4 linked regions of the Caenorhabditis elegans genome follow. The protein of the gene in region 4 interacts with the protein of the main gene of each other region in a pairwise test. Each region holds a gene or a part of one and is shown on either strand. Other genes may lie near its edges.

Region 1 (7,889 bases), on a different chromosome or scaffold from region 4:
TCTCTGATGCACACTTGGCCTTCCAAATATCATAGGACATGACTGTCATGTGCCCAAGTGAGCCACTTCGTCCTTCAAGACCATTAGCTGTGGGCATTGTGGAGTTGGAACGAGTGATAGGAGTCGTCTGAAATGGAATATAGTTGAGCATGAGATTGGAAATGAGCTCAAGAGTATGAGAAGATAAAGTAATAACAGGGCTCGCGCACCTGCTCCGCCTATTCTGACAAAATGTGAGCGCCGCTGCGTGAGGAGGGAGCCAGAGCAGCGTGCGAAGAGAGAGAGAGAGAGAGAGAGCGCATGCTTTGGAGCAGGAGCAGATTAAAAACCATAAGATCAGAATTTTCCCTCTCTCACTGGTTCTGTCGTCGACGTCTTCTTCTCATGCAGCTGTTAGGTCAAGGTGCGCGTGAGAGCTATGAGCAGACTAGAATATTTTCCTAAGAAACCGCGATTTCAGAGAAAGAAAGCCAGCTAGCTATTGACAGATGCCTTACACATATGAAGTGCAAAACAAGAGTCTAGTTTAGGTGGAGAATACTTACCGATGAGGTTCTCGTCTCCGAGTCCATGTCTGGTGTTGAAGTTTTTGAGCAGAATGAGGAACGGCGGGAGAAGCCTGAAAAGTTTCGAAATATTGAATTGGAACATATTGTGTGTGTGTATGTGTTGGAAAAGAAGAAAATGGAAAGTGTTTCGCGTTTCACTGCAGAATGAGAAACAATAGAAAATCGAATGCATCTTTCTTTCTCTCGGGGGGCCCCGAGTGTGGGTATATAGGACAGGTACTAGGTGCCGGATAAAGATCAGTAGAGGGACACAAGGGTTCCGTACTTGGGAAAGGAGTCTCGCACTGGATAATGCCGCCGGCTTACGACGGAGTGAAATGGGAGACGAAACATGTTGAGAGAGAGAGAGGAAGAAGAAAGAGACGCGAATAGAAATTCGGTGATCTTTAAATCCTTCACTATTTGGTGCGACTGGTGTGTTGCTCACCTTTTTTACATTATTTTTTCATAGTCTGTGTACACTTACTCCCACTGATTCAGTCCTATTAGAAAAGAGAGAGAGAGAGAGAGAGAGAGAGAGAGAGAGAGAGAGAGAGAGAGAGAAATGAAAAAAAATGTATATGAAAGAGCAGCACACCAAAACACAGGGATCATACGTAATGTGAGCTAATGTGATTCACCATTTGCCTACGTCAACGCCATTTTGATGATTTCTAATCTCTATTCATTTATATGTAGACATCGAAAATTGAGAACAAGAAAAGTGACGGAAATCTGTTTACAGTCGAGCCGGCGGCTCCAGACACATACTTGGAATTTCTATTTCTGTTTGGCCAGCATACGCGCATACGTGCTCAATCTAACCATCGGTCAGCGGATATTCAAATGATAATTGCTATTATTTTGAACTGACACGAGATATGTGCCAACCGTCGTGAGTCATTGAGACACCAAAGCATAACTTTGTAGACAGATAAATTGAGTGGGAAAATTGTGAAAAATGAAAAGGAGAGAGAGAGAGAAAATAATTACGTATAATCAAATGCAAAAAGATCGTAGACGGGCTGCATAAGGGATCAAACCAGGGAGCTAAAACTCAAAACGGAAGACGTTCCAAGGAGTTTAGCTCAATTTTTTGAAGACAGAACCGAAATTATAATACATAAAAATGAAAATGAAGACTAGACGAAATGCCTGAAATATTCGCGAATAACAGAAGAGACAGTCGTCCTCGGGAGGCTGGGCACACAAACACATACACAGAAAAGTGATTGTGTACTGAAAATGTGAGCGCCTTTTCGTCATCCTCTCTGTGTGTGTGTGTGTGCCTTAAAATGTGAAAAAACGTGGAAAAACGAGAGGACGATGAGAACCGAGTAGACTAGTAGTTGCGAAAATCAGACAGGGCAAACGAGAAATAGTACAGATGTGATGAGAGTGTGCAGACGCAATGAGAAAGAGTGCAAGGTCCTGAAGCGACCGAAGAGAAGGGATGAAAGGGGGGGGGGGAGGAGGAGAAAGAGTTGCTGGAATGTACTAAAAACAAGTAGATGGCGAATGAGCAAAACAAAAAGGTCAGTGGAGGGTTCGAGTCGATCAGGACACACATTTTTGTATATATCAAGACGACGAAAACAAGATTCGTAGATTCGAGGGATGGAACTAGGAAATAGAATTTTCAGCGATCTAAGAACACTTGTTCTGAATATAGAATTTTGTTATTGCGGCGTTCCAAAAGTGCGACGAATTACACTGGAACGATCAGAAAGCGCAAGAATCAGGTGATTTTTGTAATGGTATAAAGGAAAAAAACTGATAACACTATCAAAAGATTAGTCTAGTACCGGTACCTACAGTCTACTTTTTTGCAAAAGTTGGGCAAATAGTTGCTTTGTTTTTGAAAAGTGAATGTCATGGGATCGAATTTTGTAGTAAACTCTTGAAATCAAAAGATCATGTCCTTTCCAAAATATCTAACAAATATGAAACATCATCGCAAACTCCAAAATAGTTTTGAAATAACACTTGATCTTTCAGTGGTTCTGCTGTCTACGTTGTTAGTCATACAGAGATTTTCGATCGCGTACGAGAAACGAACAAAACAACCGAGTACATTTTTGTGGAAATCTAGACGGAAGTTATGCATATTTGTGGGGGAACTAGGGAGTAAGCGCCAAAACACAACTGAGAAATCAGAGATCTATGGGTACTATATGGATTCTAATTTGATAGTGAAGGAGTAGGAGACAGAGATCAGGGAAAAGCTCACCTTCTTCATCGTCAACACTGGATCCGGATTCTGGAGCATGTCTCTTTGCATTCAGAGCTGCTGCCAACTCGATCTTTTCCTTATTTCTCTTGTTGAACGACTTCAGGCGCTTGTAGTTTAGCTTCTCGCACTAAAATTTGAAAATTTGAAAACAAAATAGCTCCCAGACTCTTCTAGAACTTACCGATTTGCAATTGCACAGAATATATGGGCACTGTGGTGAGTGATTCTTGAGGATCACCTTCTCGCCGTGTCCTTCGCACTTTCGGCAGTAAAGGATGCGTCCCTTTGGCTTTGGGGAGTCCATGTCTTGGGATGATGGAGAGTAGTTCTCGTTGCTGCGGTGATGATGATGATGATGCTCGTCGTCGATGGTTACAGTAGCGATGATGTGTGGGCTCATTTTACTGAAAGAATTGGGAATTTGAGATATGTACGGAAGGAGAGCAAAAGATTTTTCAAAGTAAGACTTCTTACGAACAGCGTGAAACAGGAATTCTTTTAATTTTTTAAGTTTAAAATATGTGTAAAAAACAGACCTCTAGAAACAGAAAATTGAAATATTAAAAAATTTCAATAAATTTTAAAAATTAGTGTTTCAAAACTTGAATATTCGTTGGCTAGTTATGATTTACATAATGAAGCTCCCGAAATTTCGAAAAAAATCTAATTGTCTTACTGAATTTAATGATTCACAGTAATTCTGCTAGATGCACACAGCAAATTGATGCAACATGATCACTGTATAAACTTGTGAAAATAATGAAACAGTAATTTTTCTTCAAGACATATATATTCCAAGAGTACTACAGTAATCCACAAGAGCTTAACCTTAGCTAACCTAAAATCATGAAGACTGATCAGGAATAGTGACAAAAATGGAGGAGGAGCTCCAAGGGTCAAAGCGGAAGTTACAAAGGGACCTACAAGAGAGTAAGAGAAAAAAATATGTAATTTCTTTTTTTTTTCCCATTCGAAAAAAAACACACTCGATGGGTGTGTGTTCCAGCTTCCTCGTTCCTATTTTTCCAGTCCCTAGTGGTTCAATAATCACATATGCGGGGAACACACACACACAGGGGGGTGTTCGAAGATCACTCGGGGTCTACTAGTCTGGGCTCGAAAAGCTCAAAAATTGGGTGAAAAACATGCTAACGCGAAGCAGCAGAGACACTGGAGAACACAACACAAATTGTGATCTAGAACACACACAGAGAGAAATAGATGACCAGGCGAACGGAGCACAAAACAGAAGAAGCAGAACACGGAAATGAGAGGATGGTTGTGCAAAATAAGTAGAAAATATCTAGAGGAAGTAAATTAAGACATTTTCAGACAAGGAAATAAGCGTTTAGATGGAGATAACTAGGTTACTGTAGATGATTTTTGAAAATTGGAATTCTTAATGAAAATTTACTGTTTCACAGAAAATGTTTAAGAGTTTTAAAACTGGAACTGTAATATTTATGTGATTCTATTAGTAATAAAAAAACTCACATCAGTAAAGGATTTGCAAAAATTTTAAAAATCGAAAAAAAGTTACTGTTTCACGGAAAATGTTTGATTATTTCAAAGTAGAGGCATACTACTTGTAGAACGACAGGAAAATTACGGTTTCAAATTTTGAAATTTAATAACACTTTCACTGTAAATTTTGTGAAATTTGGCATATGAATTTGATTACTGACTAAAAATAACAATTTACTCCTAATAAGAAATACAAATCAAAAATTATGTTGCGGTTATGTATACGTAAAAATTTAAAAACAGTGAAATTTTTCACTGTTTCAAAATATGCATTAAAAATGTTGTGGACTCTTTTTTTTTTGCTATTACCAACGAAGTAGGTTCATCATTTTTCAACAAAAAATATTTATGTAGATTTTTAAAATCTTATTAAAATTTTGAATTCGAATTTTTGAAATTTCAAATTTTGAAGAAAAAAATTACTGTTTCAAAATAAAAATATGAAAAGTTCACAAAGTTCAAAGTGCTTTCGACAGAATTTAAAAAATATAGAAATTAATACAAAACACATCAATTCCATAGGTACAAAGTTCCGTAAGTTCGGTTCTTTGTTGCTCCTCCTCTACTACACACGGCACACAGAAAATGAACATAAAATTGGGCGGTACAAAGTTTAGGCGGGGTGTGCAAATATTTGACCTACTCTCCACCTCCTCCCACTAACCGGGTTGAATGACTGAAGAGGTCGAAAAGTGTGTTTTTGATCACAAACTTTATCATCATCATTCTGTGACTTTTCCAGAGAAGAAAAATCTAGAAAAAGTCAAGAAAAATGATTCAAAAAAATAGGAAAAATAAGTGATCAAAAAACTGGAGTTGGGGGACCCGCAAAAACAGAGAACACAACCGCCAGACAAAACATTTCTTCTTTTTCTTCGTCTCTTTAAAGATCGCCGAGTAAATTGACAACAAAAAGCTCAAAGTTTCAGTGTTTTTCTCTTTGAAGCAGGAACAAAAATTTTCAGCTTCTTTTCAGCTGAAGCTCAAACTTTTTTAAAAGAAAAAGACATTGTGAAACAGAAAAGTTCCCATTTCTTGTAAGAAATGACTAACAAGTGACACGGCAAAAAGTGAAAGAACTGGCAAACACGTAGCCTTTGTAGTCTACAAAATGTGTCTACAAAATGTACAATAAGGTGAAACTTTTAAAGAAAGAATAGAGCAAACACTTAAAAAAAATGGAACTTTTTTCAAAATTTTGAAACAGTTGAAAATTTTTTAATCAGAATAGTTTAGTTTATTGGGACCAATACAGGGCGATATCATAGCAAAAACAAACATTTATTTGTGAATTTCAGAACTTTTTGAAACAGTAAAATATTTTTGAAACCAAAACTTTGTGGTTGTCAGCCAAGCTACAAGAAGCGACGAAAATTATTGCAATTTTCAAACTTAAGTTTTGTTTATAAAAAAAAACAATGCTCTCTGTGTAAATTTCAAAATGTTTTGAAACAGTTAATTTTTTCCAAAGTCCAAAATTTTGAATTTTTTCCGTTTCCTCCGCCACGTCATTTGCACTAATTTTGTGCTTCCGACTAACATTATACAAACATCTTCACCGGTTTTCCTAGACACCTCAAGTGGCTAAATATGTTTGCAACAAAAAAAACACGAACTTACCAATGACCAGCTCCACAAAATAATATTTTTTTTTGATTGTTGAGCCACACGAGCTCCAACCAAAAATGGCTTCTTTTTGATGATTTGGCAATGAAAGTGAGATGAAGTCTGAAAAAAGAGGAATTTCTTTAAAAATTTGCGGAGAAATTGTATAGTAAATTGGAAAGAGAGAAGCCAAAATTGTGATTTTTGAAAAAATTATGGAAAAGTTTTGCATACGAAATCTGTTTAATACGATTATTTTTCACGTGCGCAGAGGGAACCGAAAGATTAAAAGTATATATGGAGAGAAAACTGTCGGAAAATGTTGGACGAAGTTTAATCAGTGAGGTTTTGTTGAAAAGTTTAGAAGAAACATTTTTGAAACAGTGAAAAAAATTTCCAAAAAAAAAAGAGTACAATTAGAACCTGTAAATTGAAAATTTTAATCAGTGATTCTTAATGCAGAAATTCGATCACGTTTTCATCGAAAAAGCCAGTTTCCACGCAGCTTCAGATCCCAATCAAAAACGATCCAGAATGAAGTGAAGATGAGGAAATGCAATGGAAGGGAATAACGAGTGTATTAAACTAGACACAGTTCGTATTAAGGGCGTATGTAGGAGTTTCAAGGTAGAAAGAGGCCGAAGCACGGGAGATGAATATCTTGAGGGATTTTTTGGGAAGTTTCTTGACTGTAACAGGAAAAAAAAGAACCGAAGTTATTGAGAAATGAAAGTTGAAATTAGGAACATGCAATTTTGAAACAGTATTTTTTTTCCGAAAAGTTAAAATTGGTCAATTTTGGCGGGAACGGCAGTTCAACAGATTTAAATATATATTTTAGCGAAATTTATATTAACATTCCAAACAGGTAACAAATTGTGAAAAAAGTTTAGGTTTCTGGCTGTAACAGGAACAAGATGCGACCATTAATGAGAAATCAAGCTTGAACTTAGAAAAATGCGGAAAACAAATTTTTTTGGAAATTTTAGTTATTGCAACTGCACATAAAATTGTTATATTTTCCAGCGACATGGTTTATATTAAGATTCAGAACAGTTAAATAAATTGGAAATAAATTGGATTGAAAAATTGTCGAAAAAATCACCGTTTCCTTATAATAAATTTTAAAACAGTAATTTTTTTTTTTGGAAAACTTAAAATAAGATCGGATTTCGTTAATTTTTCAGTTAATTTCTCACCAACTACACTTACTACAAATACTGAATTCTTGAATGTACGTGTGAATAAAGGTTAGATCCGCCGAGTTAGATAAGAAAAACACGGTAAATGCAGAAATCCCACATTTGAACGGATTCTGCTGCTGGAGGTGGAGATATCGAGTCACAGAATGTTCATTGGGATCTTTCAGAACTACTACTAACACTTGAAACGGCGAGGAATTTTCATGGAATTTTTGAAACAGTGAAAAAAATTTCCAAATTTTAAAAATTTTTAAATTTTGACATTCAAACTTCGAAAGTTAAACTATTAATTTTTATTTCTTGATTTCAAGTTTTAAGATTTACTTCTTAAACTTCTATCCAGAAAATTGTTACTGCTACAAACTACGGCCTACGGATACTACGGATACTACGGAAATTACGGATATTCAATTGGAACTGATGTTACTCAAAAGATCCGTGATCGAGATACAGCCGGGCAGGCGGGGGGTCGCTATGATTTTTGTTGTTACTCTTATGCAAGTAAATTGCACTTTTCTGGCCCCACTAAGTAGCTCACGCTTTTGTAGAGATCAAACGCCCTCCCTGTAAAGGCGTCACATCTCGAAAAATACATGGAGGAAAAGCTGCTTGTGTTGAGATTATGATCAGAGAAAACGATGTTGAACAAGAGATCGCAGAATTTTTTGATTGGAACGAAATAGAATGAAAAACAACTGCGAGAAATATTTTTATAGAATTTGAAAAAAAAAATTGAAAAAAAATTACTGTTTCAAAATTATCACAAAAAAAATTTTG
Region 2 (5,562 bases), on a different chromosome or scaffold from region 4:
GCCGAGTCTCCGTTGATCTTTAAATTCTGTTGATTTCTCCCGACGCTCCACACGTCTGAAATTGATATAATCTGAAAGTCTCGTTGACATCATAATTCTTTCGATTCTAGCGATCGACCCTCCACATTATCAATCAGTAAACTGCCTTCCAAAAGCCCCAGGCTCTAGAAAATCAAATCAATTCAAAAAACGCAAACGGTGTGTCTGTCATCATCATCATCAACTCTTCTTTTTCAAGAATAAAGTTGTAATTAAGACTCTCTTATGTAAATACAATCTCTTTCTTTCTTTCTTCTTTTCTATTTACTCTGCACAAATGATGATAAGACACCAGGATCTGGCAGGATACTTCACTCAAGTAGTACGGTTTCGCGCTGTGGTTTTTTCCAGGAACTCCCTTTGCTTGGTAAGAATCACAAAACGTTTTCTTCTTGTGGAATGTTGAAGAACGAATAATAGTAAACATGGAGTTTAATTGAAGAAGGTTTAAATCTAGAAGACAGAACGTTCAAAATTTTATTGTCTGAAAAGTAAAGAATAAAGCACAAGGGAGCAGTACATAACATCGTATTAAGAATTATCTACTTTCTCGAGAAATGCGGTTGAATAGGAATGAAAATTTCACTTTCTTCTACGACGAATATTTGTACATTGTCCATGTAATCGTAATTGATGTCTTCTTCCGAATATCTTCTCGTAGTTGTTTCATTTGTAGATCTATTGTTCCTGCAATGCTGGTCATGTTGTAGCATATGTGATATAAATTCATTACATATAAACTTACCATCATATTATGATCATGGAGAGCACGATAGTTTGGAAGGGTTTCAGAACAGTTGTTGCATTGAAACATTTCTTTTCCGTGAGATTCGTGTCGATGTGAGCACAACGCTTGCAGGTTATGAAAGGAGGCGTGGCAATCTCGGCACTGAAATTATAAATTCTCAAACGTTATTTTTTAATTAGGAAAATTAACAAACCGTCCATTTCTCTGGAGTATTCGAATCTAGACGAACACGGGATGTGATTTTTCTCTGCAACGCGGCTCCATTTGTATCGCTCCTGTGATGTTGTCGTAAAGAAGAACTTCCCGGTTGTTGAATATTATCAAATACGTTGCCGTATTGACACGTCTTGCGATGTTCAGACAGAACATTCAAATTTGCAAAAGTTGCTCTGCAGTCAGGGCACTTGAGAACTGATATATTTTGAATATTGAAAAGTCTCTTATCTCGGATCTTGTATGGCTTGAAGCATTCGTGACGGTCAAGAGTGGTTCGATCGATACAGTTTCGGCCACATTGTTGGCAACGGAAGATTGAGTATTCCATACTCATATGACGACGAATCGAACTTAGTGTATTGAACTTTTTCGTGCACACACCACATGTTAGCATTGCAGTCAATCCATGAATTTGCTTCCGATGATGAAGAAGACTTGCAACACCGACACAGAACTTTCCACAGATGGAACACTGAAAACTTATAATGTAAGAACAACATATTTAGAGCTTCAATTTTGTAAAACATAATGATACCTTTGTCAATTTTCAATTTTTCAATTTTTCAATAGAAATCAATTTTTGCCGCAATATTGCAGATACAGCTACAGTAATCCTATTACGTATTCCCTTTTAATACAATCTTATCATATGAATCATTCACTTCAAAATGTTAAATTTACATTCTTTGGTGATAATTTAGATTTTAAGACATGATTACTGAAAGAAGTATGTTAACCAAACAAAAAGATTTAAAAGAAATGAAGTAATCTACCGGAATATTGACCAAATTCCCAGTCGAAGAAGATGAGGATGAAATGGTAGCATCAGCATCTTCGTCATCGTCATTGTCGTCTTCTCTTTCAGGTTCTATACCAAATAAATTGACATCTGGAACCACGCTGATCTCTCCTTCACGTGGTCGTCTGTCCCGCAACGAGTTGACATCCAAATGTACATCAGAAAGAGCTGGAGTAATGTCTGGACAATGCTTCTTGTGATAATCAAACCAATATTCATTTTGATATTTTTTATGACAGTTTGGACAGCTTATGGTTTGATCTAAAAGCGCAGGAGGAAGTGCAGTAGATGAATTACACTTTTCCATGTGGCGTTCGAACCAAAAACTCGAATTGTATCTTCGGTAGCAAACATTGCACTTGAATTCCTGCAAAACAATGTTTATGTCCCATCTCTGACTGAAATTTATTTTTTTTTTGTAAAACAAGAAAAAATAATCTGTTAAATTAGTTTATATTTTCAATTAGTGAAGTTCTCGCAAAAACGTTTCACTAAACATTCTCCACCTGAATTTCGTCCGTTGTTTCCAAGCATTTGGTTCTATGTTTGAGCAACCAATGATAGTGTTGATATTTCTTTCCACATAATACACAAGCGAATTGGAAACGGTCTTCTTTTGATTTTTCATGATTCTCATTAGACAAAACAACGCCACCAAATTCTTCATCTTGAATCTCTTCTTTTATTACTTTTATTTCTTCCGCATTTACACGTCCCGTTCTTCTTCGTTTTTTATCGTCGATTGTTTCATTTTCCTTACATCGATGCTTTTCCAAGTGCCATTTGCTGGCAAACGATGTATTGCAACCGTCACAATGATATACTTTGTATTCTTGACTTAGATGCAAATAGATATGTGTTCGCTTCGAAAACTCTTTTCCACAGAGACCACACATCATCATATCTTTCAGTGAATGTTCTTGATGACGATGATCAAGAAGACAGCGAATGGTTGAAAATTTGGATCCACATATTGAGCACTGAAATTGAAGAATAAAATCATGTTCAGAATGTTATGCTTTAGATTTTGAGAAATTTGATGGTTGGTACACACTTTTAAGTTGTAATAAATAAATCTATAATAGTGATATGGTATAATAGTGATAATAGTGAAGGTTTTTGTTCATTTACAGAGAATGAGATATAGAACTAAAATGAACTAACCGAGCAATTAACAATTGGATCTCCTCCTCTTTTTGTCCAATATTTGGCAGAGGGTTTCGATGTCAAATTACTACGCGACTGCCGGTTTCCTCGTGGGGTCCGTCTTTCTTCGATACTTTCATCGGTTTCATCGCTACTGTCTGACTGATTTAATAGTGTATCAGCACCTTCACAACCATAGTTGTTCAACACGTTTATGTATTGGACGCTGTTGTCCTGAAAATGTTCATTAGAAAATGAATTACAGTTGGTTTTTACACTATGGAAGCGATTATTCCACGAAAATGAGCCATCAGCTTGGTTGTACTGAACTCCGGACGGATTTTCGAATATTGAAAGATATTGCTGGAATTCGAAAATTATACAGCATTTTTACCAAATTTATATTTCAACCTCATCTTGCATTTCATGCTTTGGATCTCTGATTTCAACTTTATTCAATTCCTCTGTGACTTGTGAAGATGTGGATGGCACGTTTTTAGTCTACAACTCTAACTTTATGTTGAGGTTTCAATGAAGATTAAATACCAAAGATGGTCGAAGTGAAGCTTCGTCGAAAATTGCTTTGATATGACGAAGCAATTTTTCATCAGGCATGTCATGATAAAAACTGCCAATTTCATTTTCGACATTTGGTAAAAGCTGAAACTTTTTGCAAAATAAGTTGATTAAACACTAGCGCTCACCACAGTCTGATCTGATTCTTCCATTTTTACAAGAGGATGGCTGGAAAATATTTTAATTGTAATTTTTTCTAAATTCTTTTTTAAATATCACATTTTATGCAAAACGCGAAGAAAACAGTTGATGAAACAAAACGAATGTGCAACTATTTAGATCTAACTGTGATCTATTGCAATACTTCCCTTTAAAGGCGCATCAAATTTCTACCGTGATGGGTCTCGCCGCGCCCAATCTCGAATATCACGTTCAAATTTGGAAAGCTTTCAAAAACTGAAAACTTCGTTTAATTCAATTTGTTTTACCAGAAATAAATTAGATGCACAATTATTAAAGCTCCGAACGAGTTTATTCACATGATATCAATACAAAAGACAATAAAAGAGAGCAATAAGAGCACGAAATACAAATTCATTGTGTTGGGCTACTTTTGGTTGGCGGCAAGATCACAGGCCTCATTGAACTTGGAAACCGCCTGTCGCCATCCCGATGCTTCAAACTTTTCATTCCAGATTTCCGAGAAAGACTTGATCAGGATATTCCAGTCCGGAAGTGAATCACACGAAGGGATGTTGAGGAATCTGTTAATGACATCGTAGCAAGCATCGCGAAGAATGTTGCGCCTCTTGATGTCGACATTTAACGAATAGTCTCCAACGCTAGCTCCAGTCAACTGTGCATACTTTCCTGCAACAACGACAGCCATTGTTGCGGCGAATCCGAAGTAATCGGCTTGGTAAGTCCAAGAACGACCGTCAACCATTTCCGGGCAATCAAACGCTTCTGTTCCTGCTCTTCCCTTGAAACGCTGGTTCTTCAGTGGCATCATGTCAATGGCACGTCCCCAGTCGATAATCTTGATGACAAAGCTGTCGTTACTCATCAGAGCATCTTTGCCCCATTTATCATCGATCCTGAAAAAAGATAACGTCTAAAATTAACAAATGTTTTCCCATACTTTCTGGTGATCATAAAATTATCCGGTTTGATATCTCCATGAATAATTTTAGAGGCATGGACTTCCTTCACAACTCGGGCCATTTGGGTAATCAAGAAGCAGGTTATGTGCCAATTCGGATCCTTCATGTTATTCGCATATTCAAGCAGCGTTCCATATTCGTGGTACTGATTAACAAGAAGCGAAGCAGTTGAATAAACATAAGCATCCATCACTTCCATAATGCAACATTTGGCCATCAGCTCCAAACCTCGATCTTTCAGGCGATTCCGCATTTGGTCGCAAATGTACACTTCCCACGAACATGATGGCACCTCGTACTTCACAGCTACTGTCCTTTGATCATCGGTTACAGCCCGGTATACTTTAGCGTATCCACCTTGACCAATAAGAGTTTGAATGTGGAGCTTTTCTCCGCTAACCTCGCAGTCTCTCAGAGCTTGAATCTTCGGTGCTCGTTCTTGGAACTCGTGCATATTCTGGGGAGGACGCACAAGACACATCAATTTTTTTCGAAGAGTTTCGTCCCATGGATTGATGTCTCCTTGCTTGATAATTTCACTGCGCCGACGAATCTTGCAACCAGTGATTTCAGATTCGTTGTTTTCAGTGAGATTTGGAATTTCATCAGCACCAATTGAAAGACGTCTTCCTAGATTAGCTGTCAAACAATCGATAGATGAATCTTTAGGATCTGATCGTTCAGGCTTTGATGACTCTGTGACTGAGGGCTGAACGGCTTGATTTGCTGCTAGTGACTTTCGACGTGTCTGAAAAAGTTTGAATAGTATGTCGAAAATTTGTCTGGCACTTACTAATTTACTGAAAGTACTGCTGGTTGGAGCAACAAATACTGGAGCTTCCTGTTCGTGAGTGCTTTCCTCCTCTTTATTTCCGAAATATTCATCAATGTTGACCAAATGAACTCCTTGTGCGGGGGTCGATGTGACGAAATTA
Region 3 (4,780 bases), on a different chromosome or scaffold from region 4:
CTTCGAGTTTTTGTTTTGTTCACTACTTACAGGTAAAAGAAGATGACTAGATGAAGCTGATGAATAGTTGAGAGGTATCCTGAAAAACACAAAAAATAGGTACCGTAGGTGTAAAAGTAATGAGTTGGTAGCAAAAGCCGGCAGAGCCCAATTGGACATCAGGCGCCGCCCCTAAGTGGAGCTGAGTTGGCAGCACCACCATGATTCAAAAACAGGAGGAACAATAGGAGCGAGATATTGGAGGATGAAATTTACATATGTGTCAGTGATTAACAACACAAAAGTAGTTGATTAGCAAGTTAATATGGTATGAATAGAGCGTGTGATAGGCACATTTGTTTGCCGGAGGAATAATTAGTTTCATAACTTTTGAAAAATTTTGCAGTTAACTCGGTAGATGGGTGAGATGGAAAGTACATAGTATTAAATTGGAATATAGATAATTTTAAGATAGTTTAGGTCAATAGAAATATTTTATTTCCCAGAAATATGAAGCAGTGAAACCAATGAGATACTTCATAAATTTTATTATTTATGTTTTTTTAAAGGAATAGTACGAAAATTTGAAATCTTCAAAATAAACCGAAATGTAACTTTTCAAAGTGAAGTAATGTAAGGAAATACAGTAACTTTTTGGAAATTTCTCTCAATCATGGTTAGAAAATTTAAAATTCTCACATTATTTTGGCGTGAAAATTTTAAGTTTAGACTTCATAAAGACTACAGTACTCATTGCAACTGAGTGTGAAATTATCAAGCAAAATGAGAGTTTATATGGGTGCGAGATTCGCGGAGTTATGAGCCGTAAAACAACTGTGAAATGAGTGAAAGTTGATGGACGACTCGAGAGATCATTAAAAGTTTGATGACCTCTCAAAAAATGGGAAGTTAATGTCGAAAAAGTGGGGGAAGAAGGGAGGAGACTCGATGATTTTTGAAGAATAATTTCATTGAAATTTGTGAAATCTTCGATGAAGCTGGATAAAATTTAAAGGGCTTCAATCTTCTTTTTAACCAAAAAAAATATAGAAGACCCGACACCAACTTGATACGTTGATAGGTTTTCAATTTCGTATGAGATTTTCAAAATTTTTGAATCCAAGGCTTAACTGAATAGGATAAGGCCATCGTTGTTAAATATTAGTCGCGATGAAAACTGACTAAGTAGGAGCTTAGCCGATTAGAAATTGTGTCGACACGTGGATATGTCCATGAGGTCAAAGTTGAAAATTCGAAATGAGGAAGTAGCTAGTACGAAATAGCAGAGTAAATTTTGACTTTGTTACTAGAAACTTAATGTTTAAAAAATTAGAGCCTTCAGTTTTAGAAATCTAAAAAATATGTTTTTTTGTGGTTGACTTCCATCCATCATACTCGTTGCATTTTTGAAGTGCTTTTTGAAGTTTGAGTTAAAAATAATTTTAGATTATAAAAATGTTCAATCAAATCTACAATTCCTCACAAAAACAGTCATAAAACCTGCTCAACTTTTTCTAGATTATTTTTTTACTGGACTTAAATCAGACGATAAAGCTAAGAAGATCATATGCTTATCAAAGATCCAGTAACACTATCGAAAAAACTCTTCGTTAACATTTGAAAAATACATTCAAAATTGCCGTTAAAAATTAAAAAAAAAATTTCGAATACGAAACCTCCACCAGAAAACAATGGGAATAACAAATCAGAGATGAGATACGGTGCGATTTTGCTGGAATAAAAACTCAACAAACAAAACAAGTTCAACTTATGGTAATCTGGTCGGGTGGATCTAGGATAAAGCTTAAAATGAAAATCTTTGGCACGATGCGGTTTTTGGAAAAAAATAATTAAATTGAAATTCATGAACTTTCAGGGGGACAAGGTAAAACTGAAAATTACGTTTTCTAGCTTCTAAAAAATGTTATAATTTGAGTGGCTTATATCTCGATTTTCTTAGGTTTTTATCAAAAAATGTTCCACTATCAAAATATAGAAAAAATATTTTGCACGTATTTTGTCAATTGACAGTTGTTTGATGAAACCATTTGGAGCCAAAACTGTCAAAGTTGAGCAAGGTCTAAGACAAGTCTTTTTTAGAGAAATATGGTATTCAAAAAGTTGAGTAATCATTTTAATTTTCAATTTTTACGCAAAGTTACTTGCACCTACCGTAAACTTAGATACAGAAACCTATTATCCAGAAAATACTTATTTTTTTGGAACAAATGAAACTACATATAGAAAATGTAAAAGTATTCCATGGAAAAAAGACAAAAGTTTTGAAAATTCAGGTGAGAAAAATGATCGAGAACGGTGAACGAAGCTGTCGATAAAGCCGAAAAGCTGAGAAAGTTTAGAGAAAATGGAGGGAAAGCGGCGAATCGTTGGGAAACTAAGGGTCCACTCTTTCCTGGTTGCCACGCCTCTTTCGTCACTTTCACCTTTGCGCCCCTGGTGCCTGCACCAAAACAACTGCCATCGAAGTAGATGGAGGTGGAGAGAGCGACGGATATATGTACAAAAGAAACATCAACGAACACTAGGGAGGGCTAAAAACAAGATTTTTTCATTCGATGGCGGATACTTGTACCAGAAAAACGAAGGAAAGAGAAGCATCAGCGAAAGTTTCTGTTACTTTATAGTAATTGGGTTGATGATGGCAAAAGAAGCTTCTGAAGCTTCAGAAGGTGAAAAGCAAAACAAGAAAACAACATAACAAGAAACTAGAAATTTCAAATCTACCACAGGCGTTGGCCTAAGTCCAAATGTGGCTCTAAGGGGGTGTCCATCTCTATGCTCTCGATATGTCAAATAAAGAGAATAAGAAGGTTGAGCACAGGAGCTCCTACTCCCGTTTTCGCACATTTCTCAATACGATCACACTCCTCACCTTTTCTTTGTGTCTATGTCATTGTGTGTACAGGCGCAGGCGGCCGGAGACGAATCCCCACCAGCGTCTTCCGCTGATTGCGAACGGTTTCAGAGAGTGAAGTGGTCAGTTGGCTGGAGCACGTTGGAGAAGAGGTTGTAGGATGCTCTGAAAATACAAATTAAGGAGAGATGAGATTTTTTGAAAACGGGGGAGAAGGGTTACGGTAGCTTCTAACATTGAAGATTTAGGTTTCTGAAAAACAAAAGTTTTAAATTTAGAGCCAAGTAAACTTTTCAAAAAATGTTTTAAAATGGTTTTTTTTGCAATCACTCATAATTTCAGATGTTGAACATGAAAATGTTCATTTCTGCATTGCTTCTATACAAGGCAGGCTCGGTTTCAAAACATGGCGCCTGCCTGAAAACTGGCTTCCTCACACCATCTTCGCGCATTTTTCTGAACTTTTTTTTAAATTAAGAAATGACGTTTTGGCGCCTACATGAACGCTCTAAACTTCTGCAACAAATTTTTGAAATTCAAATTTTTTTAAAAATATTTTCATTTGAACATTTCTTTTTTACCATTTTACCTAATCGTCAACTGAAAATTTCAAAAAATCTAAACAATTTACGAAGATTTTGTTTTTCTACCGTAACCTATTTTTTATACCGTAGCCTATTTACTCTAAACTTTTCTAGCTGAAATAAAACTGAAAAAATCTTAAAAAATTGTTCAAATACAGAGAACAGCGAAAAAAACCACCCTGTGGAGAGCATTTCAAGCAAAAATAAAATAAAAATCTGTCACAAAGCTACTATAACAAGTGACAAATTGTGAAAAATCTGGATATTATAATGGATAAAATAAGCTATCAAAAGTTGTAAACCACCATTGGATGATCCCTGGATGTTCTCAAAATCTCCATTTTTCAATCACATTTTTCATAATCTTATAGCATATAGAGCTTTGATGTTAAAAATAGTAGGAAGTTACGGTATGAGCTCTCTGGATGTTTGGAAATGCTCAAAAAAGAAATCGAGATCATTTTGGATCAAGATCATTGTTTTCTTTTCTCAACCTCCAGGCGCATTGACTCTTCTCCCATACAAGGTCGAGAGGTGGCTCCCGTTGTGTTCCGAGTTAAGCTTGCACACACCTCTCACTCTTGCTTGCAATCTATATATGTGTTTGCGTATCGTTTTCTTCTCGGGGACGCCAAGTCCTTTTTTGCGAAACAAACAGGAGACTATAACGACGTGTGAGCCTGCTGCTGTTGCGATGAGAAGAGCAAAATGGGATCGCGGGGGAATAATGCGACAATCAACGCGAAAAGTTGCGCGCGCTCATCTTCAAGCCTCGCTAAGCCCATGGACTCGATGACAGACACCAAAAAAAGCTCGATGAATGGGGGAAAAAGAAAAGGTGAATGAAAAAAAAAACAACAAACGGGAAAACAAAAATGAATAGGTGTGAACTTTGAGCAGGTAAAGATTCTAGAGAAACTAAGAAAACAGTGGGAAAATTTTCGGAAAATAAATTTGAAAACTGTAGTCTGTAGAAGTCCGATTCTTTCGAAGAAATGTAAATAATTTCAAAAGGTGAAAGTTCTTATTTTTAAAGTTTTAAATCAAGAAAACTCATAGCGCAAGCTTTAGCTTTTTTCTGGTATGTTGAAAGACACTGAAAATGTTTCAAGTCTGGCAGGGATAATACGGTATTCCAAGGTAGTGCTACCCACAAAAATCTCAAGAAAATAAACCATTCATTGTAATCTCGAAAAAGTCAGCCTAAAACCTAAATTCTAGTTCTGAAAATCTCCAAAATCCTAGACACATATCCACATCTGGTTTGAACTTCACGCAATCATTGTTCACTTTCACGAGACGCAGACCACTTCTCTCCCCCTTCTTCTATCCCACCCATTGA
Region 4 (7,261 bases):
TTCAGACCTACAAAATCAACGATCTCTAATCTGATGAATAGTTTGAATGACTGGACAAGCAACCTAGATCTGGGAGCCCAAATTGACGTCATATTTAGATTACAGCAAGGCATTTGACAGAATTCCCCACGACATTCTCCTCAATAAACTGATACGCCTGGGACTGAATAAACATATCATAGTCTGGATCAATAGTTTTCTAATAGAAAGGACATTTAGAGTTAAAATAGGAAATACACTATCTACTGTAAAAAACGCTAAATGTGGGGTTCCGCAAGGCGCTGTACTCTCACCAGTTCTTTTTGGAATTTACGTTAATGAGATCCCAACAATACTGCCCGCAAATGTTAAAGTGCAGCAGTTTGCAGATGACACCAAGCTGTATGTACACACGCCAAAAGGCGACCAGATTAATAGTCTGCAAGAAGCAATAGACAGAGTAGCAAATTGGTCCGTCAGTAACAAATTGGCTCTTAATGAACAAAAAAACCGTCCATCTCACGATAGGGAAAAAACGCCAAAATTTCACTTATAAGATAAACGGCCAGGATATCAAAAAAGAGTCAACGACACGTGACTTAGGTTTTATGATCTCTCATAATCTGGATTTTAGTGAACACTGGAAAAAGGCTATTAATTCCTCGAAATTTCAAATGTCACAAATTTTTAACCATTATAACAGTAACAAACCAAAGCTGATGATCCTATTATATAAAACATTTATTGTGCTTTTGCTAGAGTACGGAACCGTTATAAGTAGCCCACCAAAGCAGTCAGATATAGGAGCCATCGAGGCAGTTCAAAATTCGTTCACAAGGCGTCTATATAGTAGGACTGTAGGCAAATACGTCTCAATAAGTGATCCGGAATATAAAACCTCGACAGAAAGAAATGAATTATTTGGGCTCACACCGCTGCAAGGACGACGTCTGACAACCGATAAAAAAATGATTTTGAAAATGTTAAACGGTAAAATAGATCTGAAAGTACCTGAATTTTTTACCTTCTCGGACAACACTAGAACGCGTTGTAAAAGAAAGTTCTCTTGGAGCAGATGTAAATTTAAAATTAGGAAACATTTCTTCGTTAACAGAACATTAAGCCAACCGTCATTCCTCAAATTTTTATCTAATTTAAACAAGGATAACTAAGTTAGGAAACGAACGACATCTACTCTTGATCAATAACATTCATTCATTACTATCCTATGATATCTCCTGTTTTTTTATCCTACTCCTTCTCATGCTCTTTTTCTACGCCTCAGGTTCTTTCACTTTGCCCATAATCTCCCAGTCCACCCTCCGACATGAATCTTTGTATGTATCATCTTTTTTCTTTTCACGCTTCTTCAAGAACGTAATAAATTATTATTATTGTTATTATTAAATGACTACAAACATTCTGATTACATTTCCCTTTTTTTAAACATATCGCAGCATTTCTACGTTTAAATAATTCAATTAATTATTTTTAGCGTAACTGAGTATTTTAGTTTAACCACAAATTAAATCCCCTTTCAAATCGAACCCACAATTTTTCCAACCCAATTTGGATTTAGTCCGTGTGTTCGTGTGGGGTTCGCCAGTTGAACTGCTTCTCTAATTGCGATTATCGCCACCCGGCTTCAGAGTCCGTCCAAACTCGATTATAGCTTTCGCTCTCCACCGATCACTGAATTCGTTGCCGTTAAGTGTAGAAGCTCAGTTGAAGAATAAGAAGACGGAAAGAAGAAGCTGTCAAATAATCTAATTTACTTGACTCTCTCAAACCAATCCAAATCAAAAAGAAGGCGTGGCTACCTAGCTCTTCTGGCGGAAAGATGGGTACGGTGGTTGGGGCCGGTGGTGAAGGAGGAGGAGCAGCCGGAGGCGGACGGCGACCAGTCAGCTGCCCCTCTCTTCAGAAGCAACCCTGTCCGCCTCCACGACGACGTCGACAACGACTTCGGTCACCCCTCACTTTCCACATTTCTCCGCTTTCACTCACACAATGAGCGACAATCTGCTGAACGGTGCGAACGGAGCATCAACTGTCTCACAGGTAATTTGCTAACTAATTCTAGTCTCCGAGGCCCTCGACGCAAACGAAATAAACAGTAATACGATTTGGTGGCGCCGTCGGTCGTCGCCGAGAGCTCCATAATTAACTTTTCTGGCGCGCACAATATTCTTCGTCTCCTGAAGACGTTGTCGTTTTTCGGAAGACGACTGGGAGGAGTCCAAGTGTGTGTGTGTCTTCCCCTCATAAATTCATTATGGAAATTTGATTGTTAGATGCTCTCACGATCAGTGGCACACACACACACAAACCTCCTCAGTTGTCTTCCGGAGCTGGTATCGATAGCCTTCCAACTTTTCTCGCCTCCAATTTCCCTAGAATTATTGTTCAGCTCGCCATTTTAATTGATGTTAAAATCAAAATCACAGACTACCGTACCATGGACATCAATAATTTAATTCACAAGAAATAACTTTAGACATGGGTTTGAAAAAACTAAAAGTCCCACCACAAACACCGCTAAAGATCTGATCTTGGTGTGTTCAATCCTAAAGAAGCTAATGTTGGACGGGGTTCTAGATAATGATCATACAATACCTCGACACTGATGTCTGATTTTTTAGTCACAAAAAAGTTAAAAAACCAACTGTATTAGTTTATATTAGTTTGTAAGTGGAACCGAACATTTTGAAAAATAGATCTTAAGCCGGTAGAATCTCTGCTGAAAAACTGTTAAGTCACTGAATTTTTATTAGTCTTCTTGGCGTTATGTTTTACTTTAAAGTTCTAGTGTTACTGTGGATTTCCTTATTACCGTCCTTCCATTAATCGATTCCAACAGATTCCTCAATTCACCTTACATTAGTATAAAAACGTTCTACTGGAACCTACATCATGATCTATATTTTCAGTTCCAAGAAAAAGTGAAAGATCTTGGAGTATCTCTTCACGATTTCACTGCCTACTATCCGAGCTCTTTGGATACAGTCTCGGCAAGTCTTCGTCCAATTTCGGATCCATCATCAGGTTAGTCTCTACATTCCATCTTCTTTTTTTCTACACTGGTAGGGAGGAGCTTCGCTTTAGCAAGGCGAACAAAATTACATCAGAATATATCAGATTTGCGGAATCATATTTGATGTCTCTCCTTCGTCGTCCGCATGCCAGTTCATTCCTTGCATCAGTGCCTTCTAGGTTGAGCAAAAGGTCCTTCTGACCCTGAGCTTCTCTTATTATTTCGTTTGATATTCTCACCTATCCCAAGATTCAGCAAAAACCACTTCAAGTGTTTTCTTTATTAGTGTTGCGCAATAGCTTCCGCCAAAGGTATCATGCTGTGTTAGTACAACTGATACCCTTACCATGTCCCCCCGCCTTGCTCTTCCCCTCCTCAATGGTACTTCACATCTCTGGAGCATGTGCCACCGAGCCAATTATGACGCCTGTTGCCAGATGCTCACTCTTATCCATCCGTTCTATTGTATCCACTAGTCTTGACTTTGTGCGCGAAGTGTCTCTCTTCTTATTTACTATTTTAGTACTTGTGTGAGCAGATTTAGGAATTAACAACTCAATCTAACAATGTATTATTATGGTAAGACAATGTAGAGAAGGGTGTCATATTTCTTTGATTATTCCTTGCAATTCACACTAAGAATTTCGAAATTCTGCATTCCTCCGAACATCTGCCCACTTTCCATTTTTAAGCCTTAAAACTGGTGATGTTGCAGATGGCGCCTTCAAAAAGATTAAAACCGAAGGACTCGGTGGCTCGGTATTTGGATCTTCGATTGCTGGGGTCACGAACACGCCTGCAAGGTGAGTATTCTTAATATTTTGGAAGATAGGGGTACGGTAGATGTAGAAGGGATTTGATGTATGTAGGTATTCAATGTCAAAATAAGGCAGTTATCTAGATTTCATTTATTGAAACTACTCCAAAAACCCAGTTTTTTAAAAGTAAATTTGGCTATTTACCAAACCCTTGACAAAATATGTTTGCGTTTATTATTTTTTTGGCCACTATTTGGCCAAATTTAAAAATTTAGAAAGCCAAATATAATTATACAACTTGAAAGAGCCAAAATTTGACTTGTGCCGCCTATATTTTCATATCTTCAATTTCTATCAATAGTCAAGTTAATTTTCAACAAACTCTACCGTACTTCTCACGTATTTTCTTGCCTTCCCCCACCCACCTAGTGCTCCACGGCCTTTCTTAATTGCAGGCTGTGTAGCCTAGAACGGCCCGAATCAGAGCGTCTCAATTCCAGGCGGAGACATCGGACGACATTCACTCAGGAACAACTTCAGGAGCTTGATGCTGCATTCCAAAAGAGTCACTATCCGGATATCTACGTTCGAGAGGAATTGGCAAGGATCACCAAGTTGAATGAAGCTCGAATACAGGTGAGCTTCGAAATTAAACTGTATGCTCAATTTGTGAGACATGTGCTCTAATTTGTTGTTTCTTTCTCTTCTTCATATTCTTTATCTTCTTCCTCACTTCTTATTGGTATTCATCTCGCGTTAATTGCTGCCTTTGGATAGTTGTCTACCACCTCCTGGTCACCTACTGTGCGCTAAATCCACCACGCACCATCACACATCTGGTAGGGATTAGATATTGAGCTTGTGAAGCTGAGAAGAACAAATTGAGACAAAAAAGTCAATCTGCCATAATAGGGAACTTATACAACTTTTAAAATTAAAAATTAACATAGATGTACAGAAATAATATATAATTGATTAAAAACCATCTTGAAAAGTTTGATGAAGGAATTTCTTTGAAGTATCCGTTTGTAGAGAAAAGAATGCACACATATTTGGTAAACGACAATGTTCAGCCGGTAATAGTTTTTTGGATTGTTCAACTAAATTGAATATAATTTTCGAATTAATCTGATTTTTTTCTGCGTTTCGAGCTTTATTTCTTAGTGCTGAAAAGATGGGTTATCGTTCCTAAATTGACGGTTTTGTGGAATTACCAATAATGTTTTCAGCACATCTTTGACTTCAAATAAGCTTCTATTTTTTGGTGATTAAGCTTTCAGTTCTGACTGTTTTCTTTGCGATCTACTGATGTAAGTTATCTTTTGCTATTTATAAAGTTCTCTGAACTTTTTTCTATTTATAGAGTTCTCTGAACTTTCTAATAAAACAAATAAAACTTTGCCTAGATTCAATGATACATGCTTAAAACTTCTCACCCTTTCTGATTTTTTTCATTGTCTACCTACTTCCATATCCGTCATACGGTATCCTTTTTTTTTAAATATTCATAATAATAATAATAACAACTCAAAACTAGTGCCTTTGAATCTCTAAAACTCTTGTTCAAAAGAAACTCTCTATCACCAGTCTACCGTAACCCATCGTCTTCTTCTCTTCCAACATCGGCGTCTTTGTTAGGAGGCAAGCAAATTGAATTATGCTCTGCCTTTGCCGCTTTCTCAATATCCTTCCTCACCACAGCTTTTCCCTTATTCTTGAGCAGTCTATCAACATTTAGAAATACAGAAAAAGGAAATGAAGGGACTTGATAAAAAGAAAAGAGAGTGTAGCGAGGAACAGAAAAGGAAAGGAAGGATTAAAGATCCGGAGACAGTAATACTTTATGACGTGACTTTTAAAAACTTTCTTTGGTTGGATTGTGTGGGTATTAAGATACTTTTGAACTTTGTAGAATCTGAAATAAATACTCCAATTATTTGTTTACATACAATCTTGTAGAATTTGGTTGTCGTATATACCCAACAGTATACATTATTTTAATACTAAATTGCGTTTTTAATTAATTACTAAATTGCGCCAAAATCACATTTATTCATTTTTCCCTGATAATTTTAAATACAATGTTTAACGTAGAATTATAAATTTAAATACATTTCTGACTCCAATTCGTAAAATTAAAAAAACAATGACACACTAATGTATTACTAGATATCTTGTTTCTAGATGTAAGGATTTCAGGATTACTGTAGCGTATTCACACTTCCTTTACTTATTGCGTAACAGTTTTGCCACCTGGCTGTCTCTACTCCATCCCTCTAGATCTGACTTGATCATACTCATACTCCCCACTAATTTCTCGAGTAATCCAATTTTGTTTGCAGGTGTGGTTCCAAAATCGGCGAGCAAAACATCGGAAGCATGAAAAACAATTGAATAAGGTAGGAAGATGACGAATATATTCTGAATTCATCAAAAAAGTTATTTACAGGCAATCAATCCCCCGCACTCATTCCTATCCAATCCAGCGAATACTTTGATGCGACAAGGAATGTACCCAGCTGCATTGAATCGTGACGGTTTTTGGTATCAATCATATCAACGACCAATGCCATACCCAACAGCTTCTCCTTCATATTCCAACTCGTTCACTAATCCCATTGCAAAGTTTGTTCGTCTTTTTACTGTGGGATAAATATTTCGTTAATTTCAGTTTCGGTCATTCCATCACCTCTTTCCAAGCTGACGACGAGTTCTACCAGAAAAGTTTGGCACTTCGAATGACGACGACACCATCGGCCGCTACAGCTGCTACCTCACTTGCTAATATTAACTACCAGCAGACACAACCATCTGAAGCTAGTACCAACCCTCCTTCAATCTAGTCATTAACATTACAACCAGACATTTCTAATCTCCAAAGTTAACAGAAAATCCAATAATTTATGATTGCGTGTGAAATCAATTGAACAAATAATAAAGAGATCTCACTGATAGACTAATGTTGGTACGTACATTTACAAAAAGACAACGGTTTCCAATAAAAATGTTGAGAAATATCACAAAGGAGTGGGAAGTCTACGAAATGGAATGTTTAACGCGACTGATGATAAATACAATCTTACAAAACTTATCTGCCTTCTTCCTGTATTAAATATCCGGATCCTTTCCCGTTCCGCGTGTCACAAAATCACTTCTATTTGGTTTTGTCTTGTTAGAGAAATTTTGAGTAAACACCAAAAAAAAATGATTTTCGTATTTTATGTGGTTACCAGCCGCTGACCGCGCCTACGGCGCGGCCAACTCGTTCTCAGCACACTGCATTCAGTAGCGTACTCGTTCTCAGCACACTGCATTCAGTAGTTCTGGTATTGTTATCACAAAACATAATAAATAAAAATGACATGAACCGCCCATTTTAAAAGGAATTTTTTTGTTTCCATTAGGGAACAAGATAAATTCTTAATAGAATTTGGTGGCGGTGAATCGTTGTGGACAATCTTAGTCGTGATTCTATGAATGATCTTAAATC

Evidence for each region.
Region 1: the proteins of unc-42 (region 4) and dmd-6 interact in a two-hybrid assay, tested with the Caenorhabditis elegans proteins (one large-scale study listed by BioGRID).
Region 2: the proteins of unc-42 (region 4) and ztf-15 interact in a two-hybrid assay, tested with the Caenorhabditis elegans proteins (one large-scale study listed by BioGRID).
Region 3: the proteins of unc-42 (region 4) and fozi-1 interact in a two-hybrid assay, tested with the Caenorhabditis elegans proteins (one large-scale study listed by BioGRID).

Annotation. Positions count from the first base shown.
Region 1 is NC_003282.8:14,614,747-14,622,635, reverse strand, and holds the start of dmd-6 (DM domain-containing protein), read right to left. Parts: upstream 6,034-7,889; 5' UTR 5,926-6,033; intron 5,573-5,925; exon of another isoform or gene 5,552-5,572; intron 5,467-5,551; exon of another isoform or gene 5,446-5,466; intron 5,281-5,445; exon of another isoform or gene 5,260-5,280; intron 4,630-5,259; exon of another isoform or gene 4,609-4,629; intron 4,503-4,608; exon of another isoform or gene 4,482-4,502; intron 4,389-4,481; exon of another isoform or gene 4,365-4,388; intron 4,261-4,364; exon of another isoform or gene 4,240-4,260; intron 3,503-4,239; exon of another isoform or gene 3,482-3,502; intron 3,439-3,481; exon of another isoform or gene 3,418-3,438; intron 3,225-3,417; exon of another isoform or gene 3,204-3,224; intron 3,186-3,203; 5' UTR 3,182-3,185; coding exon 2,963-3,181; intron 2,909-2,962; coding exon 2,779-2,908; intron 2,455-2,778; exon of another isoform or gene 2,434-2,454; intron 1,113-2,433; exon of another isoform or gene 1,056-1,112; intron 620-1,055; coding exon 546-619; intron 128-545; coding exon 1-127.
Region 2 is NC_003279.8:7,253,641-7,259,202, reverse strand, and holds ztf-15 (C2H2-type domain-containing protein), read right to left. Parts: upstream 3,693-5,562; 5' UTR 3,677-3,692; coding exon 3,653-3,676; intron 3,609-3,652; coding exon 3,495-3,608; intron 3,450-3,494; coding exon 3,360-3,449; intron 3,312-3,359; coding exon 3,225-3,311; intron 3,183-3,224; coding exon 2,967-3,182; intron 2,783-2,966; coding exon 2,309-2,782; intron 2,170-2,308; coding exon 1,777-2,169; intron 1,476-1,776; coding exon 981-1,475; intron 929-980; coding exon 785-928; intron 735-784; coding exon 582-734; 3' UTR 504-581; downstream 1-503. Other genes in the region: Mitotic checkpoint serine/threonine-protein kinase bub-1, read right to left, coding at 4,072-4,561, 4,606-5,375, 5,421-5,562.
Region 3 is NC_003281.10:9,280,026-9,284,805, reverse strand, and holds the start of fozi-1 (Formin-homology and zinc finger domains protein 1), read right to left. Parts: upstream 3,026-4,780; 5' UTR 2,873-3,025; intron 1-2,872. UniProt on the Caenorhabditis elegans protein: Acts redundantly with hlh-1 to promote body wall muscle cell and coelomocyte specification in postembryonic mesoderm progenitors, probably through suppression of sem-2.
Region 4 is NC_003283.11:9,763,998-9,771,258, reverse strand, and holds unc-42 (Homeobox protein unc-42), read left to right. Parts: upstream 1-1,902; 5' UTR 1,903-1,989; coding exon 1,990-2,040; intron 2,041-2,093; exon of another isoform or gene 2,094-2,231; intron 2,232-2,909; coding exon 2,910-3,024; intron 3,025-3,506; exon of another isoform or gene 3,507-3,579; coding exon of another isoform or gene 3,580-3,592; intron 3,593-3,728; coding exon 3,729-3,816; intron 3,817-4,226; coding exon 4,227-4,407; intron 4,408-6,113; coding exon 6,114-6,170; intron 6,171-6,220; coding exon 6,221-6,396; intron 6,397-6,442; coding exon 6,443-6,614; 3' UTR 6,615-6,725; downstream 6,726-7,261. UniProt on the Caenorhabditis elegans protein: Probable transcription factor. Required for initial outgrowth and pathfinding of axon growth cones along the ventral nerve cord (VNC).